Stegostoma tigrinum: one gene and its partner. The protein of the gene in region 1 purifies or fractionates together with the protein of each later gene. This does not show direct contact. Links are inferred from orthologs where the notes say so. Each region holds a gene or a part of one and is shown in the gene's direction. Other genes may lie near its edges.

Region 1 (8,020 bases):
AATAGATTTATGCTGCATTTTCATTACTTTTCTTGAATTTAGCAGATAATAAGATTGCTTTCTTTTCCTCAAGTAAGACTAGTAAGTGCCTTCTTGCTGACTCAGTAAAGTCACCACAGTCCCAGAGGACTGTATGCTCATTAAAAAGTTGCTTGCTGGTGAGTTTAACCCAAGAGTTGCAATGCTTTAAGCAAGGGGAGTTGTTGAGAAGGTGGAATTTTCATGGTACCTTCAACTGGTGTAAGAATTGGACCTGCGCTGTTGGCACCACTGCAGTGCAAGCCAGCAATCCGGCCACTTGAGCCAACCTAGCCCTCCTACTGATACAGTGGACATTGGGTAACTACATTTTATTAGAGACATGGCCTTGGGTTACAAAATAATTTCAAGCATTTGTTGCAGCTGAAAAGGAGGTTGAAAAGAGCAGAGTCAATTATCCCTCCTAGTCTCATTGTAATAACCTGGAACCTAGCCATGCTGCAGAACAGCCAGACAGGCAAAGGTTGAAATAAGTGATCTTTGTGGTGTTGAGAGTCTGCGGTTTTGCAACTCAGGTCATGTTTGAATAAGCAGCAAATTCTCAAAATTCACACCTAAAATTCTAATATTTCTGCACCCCTCCGTCCAGATGTATATGTTTTTACTTTAGTTAATATTTTTGTGATAAAGAATGAGTAGGCTTTTACATGTCATTAGAGATTTTGTGACCTGTTTTTAACTGCTCCAACCAGTCAATCAGACTTATCATTAATATTTTGACAAGTTATTGAAGAATAGCACTCTCTTTTAAAAAAAAATCCGTATTTTTAATTTCCCCAGGGCTTTCCTAAATAGGGTAACAGGATGAAGTTTATGGGTTACATATTCCATGGCAGTGATAGCTGCCATGGAGTTCTGAGTTACAATAGCTGTGCTCCTGCTAACAGGCCCCCTATCTATCCCATCTCTGGCAGATCTAATCCTCCCCCACAACAACTAGGAAAATCTTAGAGGGTTGGCAATGCTGGGAAGGAGAAAGTGACTGGCTTTACAGAGCCAAGACTACCTACAAAGCAGAATTGGATAAATCCTTTGATGAGAAAAAAATTGCAGGACTATGGGAAAAGGAGCCAAAAATAAGAAAATTTGAGCAAGAAAAGAAACTAAGAGTTCTTACCCAACTTTCTGTATGCATCAGAAACTCAAACAATACTTAAAGATCTGTGGAAGGAAACAGTGATCTTTGAAATGAGGATGTGAGGATATGTGCCTAAAATTCCATTTATAGTCAAATAAAGGGGTGCTTGAAAATGTAACGTCAAAAAGAACCCCAAAAAATGACATTTAGGGAGGGAAATTGTCGGTATTTTTGTCAGTTGATCAGAGCTGGAAAACAATAGGGATCTCTCCTTGAGGGAACGTGACAGGGTGGATGATGTTTTCCCTTATGGGGAGAAACAAAGATTAGAAGATATAGTTTAAGATGATGACGACAGGGAAGCTTTTCTTTTAGAGGGTCATTAGTCTGTGAAAATCTTTTCCCAATAAAGTGGTGTAGGCAGAGTCATTGAATATTCATTTTAAGTTCAAATGCAACAAGATCGGGACAATAACCAGTTTTAGGCTGACACTTAGCAAATAACATTTGCACCACACAAATGCCAGACAATGACCACTGCCAATATGGGGACGTCTAACCATTGCCCTTCACATGCATGGTGTTACCATCACTGAAACCCCACTATCAACATGTTGGACTTGCACATAAATACGGTGACTTATTAAAGCAGGTCAGAGGCAAAGAATACTGTAGTGAGTAACTCCTGACTCCCCAAAAACTGTCCATCATCTGTAAGGCACATGTCAGGTGTGTGATAGAATAGTCTCCACTTGTCTGGATCCATGCAGTTCCAATAACACGCAAGAAGCTTGACAACATCCAGGACAAAGCTGCCTGCCTAATTGGCACCACATCCACTTCCTCCACCACTGACATTCAGTAGCAGTAGTGTGTACTATTTACAAGATACACTGCAGAAATTCACCAAAGATCCTCAGGCAGTGCCTTCTAAACCCAGGATCACTTCTATCTAGAAGGACAAAGGCAGTAGAGACATGGGAACACCACCTTCTTCAAGTTCCTTTCCAAGCCACCCATCATCCTGATTTGGAAATATATTGCCATTCCTTTACTGTCAGTGGGTCAAGATCCTGGAATTCTTTCTCTAATGGCATTGTGGGTCAACTCACGCCAGGGGACTGTAGCCCTTCAAGAAAGTAGTTCACTACCACCTTCTCAAGGGCAATTGCAGATGGGGAAGAAATGCTGGCCAGCCAGTGATGCTCATATCCCACAAATGAATACAAAATGAGGCTGAGTTAGGTGGATTTTTGATTGACAATAGGAGTCAATGATTATCAGGGTAAACAGGAAAGTTGACTTCAGCCACAGTCAGATTAGCTGTGATAAAATTTTATACAAAAGAAAATTATTGTGGTTGATGGAAGTGAATCATCACAGTCCTGAGAAATTGCTGCAGAAGTCTCTTAGAGTCGTGTTCCAGTCCCAACCACTATCAGTTGCTTCAATAGGGACCTCCCTTCCATTATAAGGTCAGAGATAGAGATGTTTGGTGATGATGACATAAGGTTCAGCGGCAGTCATGACTCCTCAGAAACTAAAATAGTCCATGACCATATGCACCAAGATCTGAACATCATCCATATTTGTGCTCATAAGTTGAAATTAACTTATGTGCCACACAAGGCAATGACTATCTCTAACAAGAGAATCTAACTTTTACCCATTGATGTACAATGGCATTACTAATATTGATTTTGCCACTGTTGACATCCTGGAAGTCAACACTGACCAGAAACTGAACTGAACAACCCCAAAAATATGTTATCAGGTCAGAAATTGAGAGTTCTGTAACCAGTAGCTGATCCCAAAGCCTATCTACAATCTGCAAGGTGCAAGTCAGGAGTGTAATGGGATATTTTTCACTCACCTAGGTGATTCCAACTCCAATAATATTGAAGAAGCTTGACACCACCCAAAAATAAAACAGCCCACATGATTGATATTCCAACCAGCCATTTAAACTCCACCACCAATGCTCAGTAGCAGCAATGTACACCATCTGCAAGAAGTAGTGCATCAACTCACCAAGCCTTCTACAACAACACCTTCCAAATCCAAGACCCCCAACAACTAGATGAATAAAGGCAAAAGATACAAGGGGGCACCATCCCCGACAAGCTCCCCTCCAAGTCACAGGTCATCCTCACATGGAACTATATCACTTTTTTTTAACTCTAATTGGAACAGACTCCTGAAACTACCTTCCTAGTAGCACTGTGTGTATACCTACACCAGTTTAATGTAGAGGTTCAAGACACCTTCTCAAGAGTAGTTAGGGATAGACAGTAAATGCTGGCCATTTAGTAACATCCACATCATATAAATGAATATGTTGGGGCAACCTCAAGGTGCCAAATGAATGACATCTGATCCTAATTCATGTATGTTCAGATGTTCTGGAGGACAAATGAAGTGCAGCAAAAAGAGCGGTCAAGCTCAGCATGTGGGATCATAATGTCATAGTGTGTTTACAGATGAGCAGCTGGAGATGTGCTCTGTCACAAACATAAAAACCATCATTTTCCAACCCCGGAAGAATTAGTCATATTGGGCTTGAAACAGCAATACTGTTTGTCTGCAGTTGCTGTCACACCAGCTGAGTTTCACCAGTATTTTCTGTGTTTGTTTCAGGTTTCTGAAATTTGCAATGTTTTGATTTTATTGTGACAGCAAAGCGTTCTCGTAAATGGTAAATCACCAAAGTCCTACTTGACTGTGGAGCAGCATTGTCATTAGAGGGAGATGACTGGAGATGGTTTACCCTGAGGGTCACCATGCCTCAGGCAAGAGGTGAGATTGAGAAGGGCCTCAATGGTCATATGAAGCAAAGATCTGCAGACGTAGAATATCTGAAACAAAAACAGAAATTGCTGGAGAAACTCAGGTCTGGCAGCATGTGCGGAGAAAAACAGAGTTAATGTTTCAAGTCCAGTGACCCTCCTTCAGGGCAAGGACAGCCCTTCATTGGTAACCCCAACTGGGGGCAGAAATTGAGCCCATACTGTTAGTATCATTCTGCATCACAAACCAGCCGTCCAAGCTAATTGAAATTAAACAACGAACTGTGGATGATGAAAATCTGAAACAAAAACAAAAATTGCTGGAGAAACTTAGCAGGTCTAGTAACATCTGTGGAGACAGAAAACAGTTAATGTTCTGACTCCAATGACCCTTAATCACAACTAAATTCTAATCTGAGTTGAGGTAATAGGAGCTGCAGATGCTTAAGAATCCGTGATGAAAGGGTCTAGGCCCGAAACGTCAGCTTTCCTGCTCCGTTCATCCAGCTCCATACTTTGTTATCTCTAATCTGAGTTGAGTGCTGATGAAGGGTCACGGGACTGGAAACGTTAACACTTGTTTCTCTCCGTGCAGATGCTTCCAGACCAGCCCAGTTTCTCCTGCAATTTGCGCTTGTGATCCAAGCTGACTGTCCTGGTACGATTACCTGCAGACAAGAGCATGGGAAAGTGAAAGCAGAAGCCAGCTTCCTTCCTGGAGTCGACACAGTGTGGAGCTGGACGAACACAACAGGTCAGGCAGCACAATGGAGCAGGAGAGTCGACGTTTCGGGCCTAGACTCTTCATCAGGACTGGTTTATAACATATTTATTGTCTCTGACCCCAGCATCTGGAGTTCTCGCTGGCTCACTCTCTTTCTGTGGTGTGGATGGGCTGAATGGCCTCCAAGGTGTGATTGACAGATTCCTGGTGACATCATCCCGCACGAGTGGGCGTGACCACGTCCGTGACGTTAAGCTCACGTGATTTTGTCGGGGCTTTCGGTGGGTGTCGGGAGCGGCGCTCCTTTGGTTAAGGTATACGCTGCGGTAGGAAACTCTCGGATAAAGCAGGCAGCCTTGGGTGGAGGTGTGTGTTATTTACTCTTCCGTTGTCGACAACACTTTTTGACCGGGGCCAAATAGTGTATCTATAGAGATAGGTGACCTGGCGCCTGCGCACTGGGGCGGTTGGGGTACATTATTTTGCAGCTCCCTGGGCTACCCAGCTGTTATTGGCCCTGGCCCTGGCCCTGGCCCGGGCCGATGCTCGAACGTGAGTGAAGGCGACTTAAAGGCAGCCAACGCCCTTTATAACCTGTTCGAACCTGACTGCTTTACGGAGCCAAAGGAAGCACCAGGGCCAAATTGAAGTGTTGAGTGTGGTGGATTGTATGGGCAAGCGGAGGGACTCCAATGGAGGATGGTGGGCGGTGGCCATGAAGGGACCTGTCAATGAGACGAGGGTTTCAATACTTATTTTTTTCTTAAAACAAAGAACCGAAAATCCTGGAGCTCTGAAACACAAACAGACATTGCTGGAAACATGTGCATGTACGACAGCCTCTGTGGAGAGAAAACAGTGTTAATGTTTTGGGTCTAGTTATCCTTCAGAACTATTTCTCCAGCAATTTCTATTTTTGATTTTGAATTCAGAGTTGGGGATGACTGTTTAGAGTTCAAGGGCAGAGGTAACACCTAAGTGCTACTCAGGTTTGGACTCTGAGGCATTGTTTGGAATCTTGATGAAGTGGTTATAAAAGAAGTTAATTTTAATGAGTTTGTGAAGATGTTCTGTAGGATACAGGATTGAGCTGTCTTGCCCACAAGGATGGCATTTTGAAGCTTGCATAATTCACTGTTTCTGGGTGGGAGTCTGTGACCATTCAGTCTGACTACTGAATGTTTAAAAGGCAAATTGGAGAATTATGGTAGCCAGTCTAATCCAAGCAAGCACAGCCTCAGCAAAAAATATAATTGGCCCTAACTAAGCTGTTAATACCTATAAATGTGGCAAATATTGATGTTGAACTAGCTCTATTGAAGCATGACCGTTTAACTTTGACAGTTACTGTGGACTTTGTTTCCAGTATTTTGACTTCTTTCAAATGTGATATTGCACCACCTCAACCCTGACAGCCCACTTGGATGTATTTGTGGTGTGGCTAAATGACCTAGGTGTTAAGTTGTATTTTATATTTTCAAAAAATTTTAGAGTCAGGGTGCTACTGGCTGGGCTAGCATTTGTTGTCCATCCCTAATTGCTCTGTAGAAAGAGTGCGAGAGATAGTAGGAACAGCAGATACTGGAAAATTTAAGGTAACAAGGTGTAAAGCTGGATGAACACAGCAGGCCAGGCAACATCAGAGGAACAGGAAAGCAGATGTTTCGGGCCTAGAATGGTCTAGGCCCAAAACGTCAGCCTTCCTGCTCCTCTGCTGTATTCATCCAGCTCTACACCTTCTTATATCAGAGTGCTAGGTTGCTTCTGGAATCTCTGGGTGTAGCCATACTCATAGTGGTATTAAGAAGGCCTTTTTTAATGTCTTCAATAAAATTTAATTCAAACTAGACCTCTTCTATTATTAGTCTCTTAACAAGTTGTCTCATTTTTGAAAGGTGAATCATCCTTAACTGACTAATTTTTTATGATTAGTCATGAATGAGAAAAGGCTGTTTTCCACTGGCCTCCAAACTCATCCTGTTAACAACACATGTAATATACTTGTCATTGCTACTAGTGAGCCAGATTAGAGCACATTTGAGCAATTATAAATGAGCTGTTATAATTAGAACAGGAAAGATACCTTTGTATCATTCATATTCTCCAGAATATGGCACTATTTCAGTTACTACTGCAGTTACCTCTTTTTTAGGAATGTGGCTGTTGCATTGCCTGAAAACAATCTGCTGTCGCTAGTGAGTTGAAAGAACATCACACTGAAGTCAGTGGACTGTTCCTGTATTTCAATATGTCATGCTGTGTGAACTGTTAGGTAAACATAGCTGCAATCGTTTTATTTTCAAAGTTGTTAATGATCACATTCCTGGTCTCTGAATTCATAAGTAGATTGCCAGATCCTGTATTTATGAATACACCACAAACATTTAATATAAAGACTTTTCTTCCTATATTTCCCTTCCTTCCTGAAAGTGCCTTCTGCTTTATCGTTTTGATTCAGATATACAGCTGACACCTGTTCTGTCATCCTTGATGTGTACATTTAACAGTGAACTTCATTAGTTAATGATTTGGAATGAGAATTTAGATTGATTATCTCCTTTATGAACCACTGTTTTCATTGAGATTGGCTAATTTGGCACAGGTTGTGAATTGAACTGTGATTATTCTTTTCTTAATTTCACATTACAACGGATTGAAAAGCATTTCAGTCAGGGAAGTAAAGCAGACTGAGCGTAGATCTGACAGATGTGCCCTGGTAGCAGCAAATTGCCAAGTTGTCCTGTTCACATTTAGATTGAACTTTCACTTTGTTCACAAGTGACTACATAAGTATACTGCTGTAGAGAGTTACCAGCTGAATTTTTCACGCGAAGTTCCATCTTTTAAAGGTATTATGGCGACACAACAGAATATCGTGCTGTCAGTTGGAACAATTAATATTTGTTCTGAATTATCTATACACCTTTGGAATTGTAGCACTTGTGCATTCCAAGCATGTTGCCATTTGCTCCTTGGTTTAAAAGTAGGAAAAGGGAATCTGAGACAATTTTACCATAGTGATGGGTTTGTGGTGGCCACAGGGCAAGGAATTGCGACTAGCTAAAATTGCTGTGCCAGAGTTCCAACGCTGCCCAAAGTGGCTAACTGGCAGTCTCCTGTATAATAACCTGTGGTGGTTCAGTGGTTAGCATTGCTGTCTCGGCACCAGGGAGCTAGGTTCAATCCTACCCTCGGGCTACTGTGTGCAGTTTGCAAGTTCTCTCCGCCTCCACCACCACCCCCTTCCCCCTCTTTGCATGGGTTTTCTTCCACAGTGCAGGTTAGGTGGATTAGCCATGCTAAATTGCCCATAATGCCCAGGTCTTTACAGATGAGGTGAATTAGCCATGGGAAATGCAGGGTTACAGGGATAGGGTAGGGGGTTGGTCTGTG
Region 2 (8,354 bases), on another chromosome or scaffold:
ACTGGGGAAATGCTAGAATCCACTGAGGCAGTACTAGATGGAAATTGAAAAATAAAATCAGGCAAAAACAAAATGTTTTTGTGAAAGGAAAATAATGTTTATAGAATTATAGAATTCCTACTGTATGGCAACAGGCCATTTGGCCCATCGAATCTGCGCCAAATAACATCTCACCCACTCCCATTCCCCCACCCTATCCCCATAATCTCTCATTTCCAATAGCCAATCCGCCTAGCCTGCACATTATGAGGTAATTTAGCACGGCGAATCCACATAACTTGCATATCTTTGAACTGTGAGAGGAAACTAGAGATCCTGGCAGAAATCCACACAGATTCAGAGAGAATGTGCAAACTCCATACGCATAGTCATCCAAAGCTAGAATCGAACTTCAGTCCCTGGTGTTGAGGCAGCAGTACTAACCATTGACGCACCATACCACCCAATGTTTGACAAATTTGTTAAATTTCTTATAAGATGTAAGCAGGTGGATAAAGATGAACTTGTAAATGTAGTGTTTTTGGGGTTTAAAGAGGTATCTTTAGCTGCCACAAAAAAAGGTAACTGCATCGGTTGAGAGGACACAGTTTTGGGGGTGATATGCTGTGGACTGGCTAATAAGGAATGGGCAGTCTGGAAAAATGGTCAAACTATAACCGGTGAAGTGTGTGGGCAATCAGTGCATAATACCACCATGATGAAATGACAAATAACACGTAGCCAAATTTGTGGCCAATGTTACCAAGATACAAAGGAAAGCACATGTGGGGGAGGATAGAGTCTTCAAAGGAACAGATTCAATGAGCCAGCAAAAAAAATTGCCAGTCACATGATGGGGGAAAATGTAAGGTTGTGTACCTTAGCAGGAAAAACAGAAGAATATTACTTCAATGGGCAGAGACAGAGAGGCTATTCAATGGCGGAGTAGTTCAACAGACTGAATGGCCTACTCCTGTCATATTTCTTCTAGTCTTACTGCTGAATGCTACAGAACAGAGGGACTTGGTGTCCCAGTTCATGAATCACAAAGTTAGCACCAGAGCACAGCCAATAATTTGAAAGGCACATAGAATGTTGGCCACCCTGCAACAGCAACTGATGAATGCAAATGATCTCATACCCACCACCAATAGTGTACAAAATACCATGCAAGGTCTGTGAAAAACATTACATAGGCCAAACTGGAAGAAGACTGACTATAAAGGACACACGAACACCAACTAGCCACCGAGAGACACGACCAATTTTCACTGGTGTCAGTACACACAGACAAATAAGGACACTAATTCGACAGGGACAACACATCCAATAATAGCGCGAGCCAGAGAATTCCTGGAGGCCTAGCATTCCAACCAGAACTCCATCAACACACACATTGAACTGGACCCGATATACAAACCATTGAAAAACAGAACCAGAAATAATGCCAACCACCCAATAAACCAAAGCATATCAATATCAAGCGGGACAGAATGCCAATGCTCCACCAGAGACACACTGATGATGTTACCTAGCAGGGTGACAAAGTGCCTGCAACCAAACACACCGTCTTGGTGAGCAAATCTACAACTTCAATGCAGTAACCAATAGAGCCAATCTAACCTCCACACTCCTAATACACGCAGCTGAGGGGTACTGGAATATTCACTAACAACTTGAGGAGACAGCTCCATAAATATTCCCATCCTCAATGATGGAAGATCCCAGCTCGAGTGCAAAAGATAAGCCTGTAGCATTTGCACCAATCATCAGCTGGAAATACTGAGTAGATGATCCAGCTCAACTTCCACCTGAGATCCCCAGCATCATATATAGCATCAAGGAGCCCAAGCAAAACTGGAATCAACAAGAACTGAGGAACTCTCTGCTGGTTGGATCATACCCTGACGACAAATGAAGATCGTTACGCTCGTTTGAGGTCAGTCATCCCAGCTCCAGTGCAGGAGCTCTTTGGGGTAGTATCCGCAGCCTTACCATTTTCAGCTGCCTCATTAATGCCCTTCACTCCATCATAAAGTCAGAGTTTGGGATGCTCACTGATGATCATGCAAATTTCAGTACCATTGTGTATACTCACACGATGAAGAAAGAATCGAACCATTGCACCTATATATTCAATGGTATTACCATCACTGAAATCCCCAGGGTCACCATTGAGTGAAAATGAACTGGACTAACCATATGAACATTGTGGCTAGTGCTTTTGCTTCCGTACCTGAGCCAGGATGCCCAAGTTCAAGTCTCAACTGCTGCAGAGATATGTAACACACCTCTGAACAAGTTGATCAGAAAATAGCTATAAATACTGTGGCTACAAGAGCAGGTCAGAGGTTAGGAATTCTGCAACAAGTAGCTACTTTCCAATTCCCCAAGCCAGTCCACCATCTACATGTCACAAGATAGAGTGTGATAGAATTCTCTCAACTTGGCTGAATGAGTTTAGCTCCAACAACACTCAACAACAAAGACAAAGCAGTCCACCGAGTTGCACCCCATCCATCAACTTCAACATTCACTCCCTCTCGCATTGGCAGCAGTGTGTATCATCTGAAAGATGCAGTGCAGGAACTCATCAAGACTCCTTCGTCAGCACTTTCCAAATCCACGATCTCTTCCAATGACAGGGCCAAGTGCAGCAAATGCAAGGGAACACCACAATCTGCTAGTTCCCCTCTAAACCATCATAATTTAGTATGAAATTTCTTCCTTCATGGTCACTAGGTTAAAATCCCAGAACTCCCTCCCTAACAACACTGTGGATGTATTTACACCACCAAGGACTGCAGAGGTTCAAGGCATTTACCATTGCTTTTTCAAGGGCAATAAATGCTAGACTAGCCAAAGCCCAAATCCGTTGACTGAATATAAAAATTCAAGCCACGCTCTTTCTGAATGTTGGCGGAGCCTTGATACTTTGAACTGCCAACCACTGCTCCTATTTCTGGGATCTTATGATTGATTGGCTGATCTATTCAAGAATGTCTCCAAGGACCCTCTTCACCTCTCTACCAATACCAGAGTGCATATTTGCATCCATAAGGTCACAAATCGACTTGGATTTAGCTAGCTTGAAAGTTAGGGCTAGTCAGATGTTTTTCATTGAACAATATGTGGTTAAAAAAAATCAGATCTTTTCTTGAAACCATAATTGAGGACCATTTATATATTTCACTTCAAAGAAACAGGTTTGTGGGTTTACAGAGTCAACCTGCAATGCAAAAGCACCCCAGGTTTTCTTTTCCACACTGCCAACCGACTTAATGCATTTCTCCAACATCCTCACTCTTAACAAGAGAAAGAGGCCCATGCATACCTTTGTCGTTTTGATCATGACCATCCAACATAGAAAGCATTCTAAACAGATGGTATGGCAACTGCTCTGCCCACAGCCATTAAGGAACTGCACAGATTTATGAATACAGCCCAATCCATCATGCAAGCCAAACTTCCATGCATTGACTCCATCTGCACTTCTTGCTGCCTTTGAAAGGCAGCCAACATAATCAAAGACACCCTCCCACCCAGCTTATAATCTCTTCCAACCTCTTGCGTCAAGCAGAAGATACAAAAGCTGAAACACATGTACTAACAGATTCAAGAACTGCGTTTTTTGCCACTTATTAGACTTCTGAATGGATCTCTAAAATTTTATATTTAAATGTTGATCTAGCATTTTGTGTACCTTATTTGCAGCCTTAACTTTGTATTCTTCACTTTGTTCTATTACCCTAATGCGCTTTGTATATGATCTGTCTGAAATGCAGCCAAAACAAAACTTGTCACTGTATCAAGATTTTTGTGACAAAAATAAATCAAACACAAAAAAAATCAACCAAGTGTTTCAGATTAAACATCGTTGGACACTCTTTGCTGTATTCACTTTCAACATAGATCTTTTTCCAGCTTCTCTCCAACCTCTCTTCATACCTACCCAGAGAACTCACCTGGGTCAACTGGTCCAAGTGCAACCAATGCTTACCACCTTCGCTTTCAGGTGGGGGGCGGGCGAGAAGAGAGAAGATGGGGGGCGGGCGAGAAGAGAGAAGATGGGGGGCGGGCGAGAAGAGAGAAGATGGGGGGCGGGCGAGAAGAGAGAAGATGGGGGGCGGGCGAGAAGAGAGAAGATGGGGGGCGGGCGAGAAGAGAGAAGATGGGGGGCGGGCGAGAAGAGAGAAGATGGGGGGCGGGCGAGAAGAGAGAAGATGGGGGGCGGGCGAGAAGAGAGAAGATGGGGGGCGGGCGAGAAGAGAGAAGATGGGGGGCGGGCGAGAAGAGAGAAGATGGGGGGCGGGCGAGAAGAGAGAAGATGGGGGGCGGGCGAGAAGAGAGAAGATGGGGGGCGAGAAGAGAGAAGATGGGGGGAATGGGAAAGACAGAGAGGTTGTGGGCGGGGAAGGTGGAAAGGACGTGTGACGTTAAGGGGTAACAACCGGTGTGAGGGAAGAGGGTGTTGAGATTGCCGTGAGAGGGGTTGGGGGTGGGGGGGTGAGGAACGAGTTTGTGCTGGTTGGAGGGTCGTCCCGAAGGTGGGGAGCGGGGGCTAGAATTACTCACGGTAAATGGACCTCTCAGGCCCGAGACTGGGCCGCACTGCTCAGGGGAGCACCGCCATCTTGCCGTGGCCACGCTGGGGATCCTGGGAGCTGGAGCTGGGGAGTGAGACCAGCGTCAGGGCACACGCCCCGACAACGCGGTCCAGCTACGCGCAGCCCGGAACGGGGCGTTCAATGTCGTCGTGCGGCGCGGGTGGTGATGACGTCACGAGGCATAGGGCATGCGCATTGAGAGGGTGGGAATCGACCGAGACCGGAGAGAGGCTGCGCTGGAGAGGTGAGTGAGTGAGTGAGTGAGTGACTGAGGGAGGGTGTTGAATATGTTAGGGTACAATGGGTAGGGGAGGCGGTAGTGGTGAGTGTCCTGGGAGGGTAAGTTCCAGTGGATGGGGGATAAGGAGAGAGGGTAGTACCAGGGAGTTGGGTGGGTGACTGAGGCGTGGGGGGAGGTGGCTTAGTCCCGGGCCCCAGTTAACAACGATCCGGACCAGTGTGCGTTTATAAAGGAAAGCCTGCAGGGAATTGTGAAGGCAGACTGTGTTTGACTAACTTGCTTGAAATGTTGAAGGCGGGGACGATGCTGTAGATATGTCAGTGTGGACTGGATGCCTAAAAGGCATTCAGTCAAGCGCCGCGGGATAAATGCTGGAATACTCGGGGGTAAGGTTAGTCGGCCGATCGGAAAACGGTAACGATGAACGTGATTGAGCATCACTGTTTCATTGGCATAAGAGCGTGCACTCGCACAATTTCAAAATTTGCAAAACAGCCTTCGGGATGTGGGTAGGCTGGTGAAATGGGAAGACTGGGGTGAGGTGAAAATAATGATTGTTCTTGACAAAAAAGGCTGCATTGACCTAGTGTGCATCAAAACCTCTCTCAACAAAAGCCAACATACTACTTCCCTCCTTTATTGCCTGCTGCATCTATATGCTTACCTTTAGCAACACATCCTTTCTGACAGATGAGTGGCAAGTAACAATTGTGCCATACATTTACCATCTCCAACAAGAAAGAGTTGAACGATTGCCATTCAATGATGTAACTGTCCCTGAAACCCCTATTAATGTCTTTGGGTTACCCATTGCACAGAAACTCAACTGGACTCACCACATAAATGCAGTGGCTACCAGAGCAGATGAGGAGTCCTGCGGTGACTAACTCACTTCCTGACTCCCCAAAGCCTGTCCGCCATCTAAAAGGCAAGGTCAGGAATGTGATGGAATATTCCCTATTTGCCTGGACGAATGCAGCTCCAAGAACATTTAAGCTTGACACTAACTGGGACAAGGTAGCTTGCAGGAAACAGCCACTCCCTCTAATGCCAATGGTCAGTAGCAGCAGTGTGTACTATCCGTAAGCTGCACTGCAGAAATTCACCAGTATTCCTTAGCACCTTCAAAATTCCATCTCGAATGACAAGCATAGCTGATGTACGGGAATACCACCCCTGCAAGCTTCCCTCCAAGCCACTTACCATCCTGACTTGGACATATGTTACCGTTACTTCAGTGTTGCTGAGTCAGAATTGTGGAAGTTCCACCCTTTCACGAGTGTGCATGTACCTCCACAAAATGGACTTTAGGTTTTCAAGTAGGCAGCTCCCTACTACCTCAGCTTGGTACAGACAATAAATGCTGGTCATGCCAGTGATGTCTACATCCTGTAAATTTTGTTTGGTCTGTGACAAGTGCGATGCAAAGCAGTTAGACATGAAGTGATACACTTTGGCAGGGGAAAGAAGGAGAAGCAATATAAGTCAAAGGTTTCAATTGCAACATGATTGCAGGCCATCTTAGAAATGGCTTTCAATCAGAAAATGGAAGGTAGAGACTATCAGAAAAATTACAATCACCAGGGAAGTACTATTGAGCAAATTGGTGAAACTGTGGGCTGACAATTCCTGGACCCTGCAGGGCTTCATCTAAATGTCTTTCAAAATGGCTAATAGTTATCCATTGGTTTTAATTTTTCATAGCTCTGTAATTCAGACAGTTTCTATTGGATTGGAAAATAGTGAATGTAACTTTATTTAAAACAAAAAATGGCAGGAACAAAAGGCCATTTGACCTAACATTTATGGTAGGGACGATTATTGAAGACATTTAGGAAATTCAGACCAAATCAATGTGGTTTTGAGAAAGAGAAATCCTTTCTAATCATTTTATTGGAGTCCTTTGACGATGTAACACCAGCGGTAGAGAAAGGGAAGCTGAATGTAGTGCACTTGGATTTCCAGAAGACATTTGATAAGATTGCGTACTAAAGGTTATTGCAGAAAATAAAAAGCACATAGTGTCAGAGGTAATATACAGATAGGAGATTGCCTGGCTTCAGAAAACAGTGGGGATAAATGCGTCATTTTATGGTTGGCAACATGGAACGAGTGGTACGCCACAGGAGCTGTCCTGGGGCTTCCACTTTTTACAATTTCTATGAATGATTTGGATGAAGGAACAGACAGCGTGGGTGCTAAACTTGCTGATGGCCTACAGGTAGATCAGAAAAGGAGTTGTGAAAAGGACGTATGGGAGTTACAGAGGGATGTCAATAGGTTAAGTGAGTGGGTGAAGATCTGGCAAATTTAGTATCAAGTAGGAAGTTGTCTAATCTTGGCTCAAAGGATAAAAAGGAAGCATATTATCTGAATTGAGTGTTTGCAGAGCTTTGAGTTTGGATCTGAGTGGTCTGTTTCCATGCTCATGACTGTGTTTCTGAGTGTTGTGCATGAACTACAAAAGGTTCTGCAGAGTCATACCAGAATTCAATTCTTATCTCTATGTAGAAGTCAGACCTGTGTTTCTTCAATTCCTGTTTTTGTTTTGCAGAAGCTGGGGTGTTCGCTCACCCTTCTCAAAAGCGATAGTTCATAACGTGACCCAATTCGTAGGCAGAGAAATCCTGTTCACATTAGCAGATGGTTGGAAGGGCAGGAGGCACAAGTTAATAATAAAGGACCGAAGGTGCACTGAGCACAAGGTGTTTTACACAGTGAAGATTTAGCATATATACTGTGTGACAGGGACAGATTCACGTGTGGATGTCTGGAGAAATTAGAAATGCACTGTTTTAGGATGTGCTAAGCTGCTTTTCCTGAGAGCTGTCACAGGTATCATGGTGACTGAAAGGTACCATTCTATGGTGCAAAACCTAAGGTTGCAAGTACCCCCTCTCCCTCTTTGTCACCCCCTTTTCTCCCCCTGTTTGCCACCTGTAATCGCCTCTTCATTCCCACATCTCTCAAATATATCACCCATTGCCTTAATCCCCTGGCGCCTCCACTCCAGAAGCAAAACTACCCCTACCTGAGGATCTGTACCTCTGAGCCAGGCTTTGCCAGGTGATAGTCCTATCTGTATGTTGTGTGGCTTGGGTCAGATTTCCAATGGAGGTGAGAGCAATGTGTTTCCATAGCAGGCGTTGAACCTGTCCTTGTTTAAAAATAATAAATGCAGGAGGAACTGAGCAACTGAGAGAAATAAAGTTTGTGTTTCATATCTGAGAAGACACTTCCTCAGAGTTCCTTGATTGGTGTCTGGCTGATCCTGCCTTTAGTGTTGCTGCTGATCTGTTGTTCCAGAGGATTGTTTGTTTGGGAGTAATCCAAATGCTGTAATTTGTTTCAGAGATAATGGGAACTGCAGATGCTGGAGATTCCAAGATAATAAAATGTGAGGCTGGATGAACACAGCAGGCCAAGCAGCATCTCAGGAGCACAAAAGCTGACGTTTCGGGCCTAGACCCTTCATCAGAGAGGGGGATGGGGGGAGGGAACTGGAATAAATAGGGAGAGAGGGGGAG

What was found. The genes of interacting proteins can lie anywhere in the genome.
Region 2: the proteins of stx12 (region 1) and synaptosomal-associated protein 23-like purify together in Homo sapiens (affinity purification with mass spectrometry; 3 studies listed by BioGRID and IntAct, counting the BioPlex papers as one, with this or other methods). This does not show direct contact. The link is inferred for Stegostoma tigrinum from reciprocal best matches to the Homo sapiens genes STX12 and SNAP23.

What each region holds. Positions count from the first base shown.
Region 1 is NC_081377.1:38,845,570-38,853,589, reverse strand, and holds the start of stx12 (syntaxin-12), read left to right. Parts: upstream 1-4,800; 5' UTR 4,801-4,908; exon of another isoform or gene 4,909-4,993; intron 4,994-5,155; exon of another isoform or gene 5,156-5,179; intron 5,180-8,020. UniProt on the Homo sapiens protein: SNARE promoting fusion of transport vesicles with target membranes. Together with SNARE STX6, promotes movement of vesicles from endosomes to the cell membrane, and may therefore function in the endocytic recycling pathway.
Region 2 is NC_081363.1:85,180,232-85,188,585, forward strand, and holds the start of synaptosomal-associated protein 23-like, read left to right. Parts: upstream 1-4,750; 5' UTR 4,751-4,830; intron 4,831-8,354. UniProt on the Homo sapiens protein: Essential component of the high affinity receptor for the general membrane fusion machinery and an important regulator of transport vesicle docking and fusion.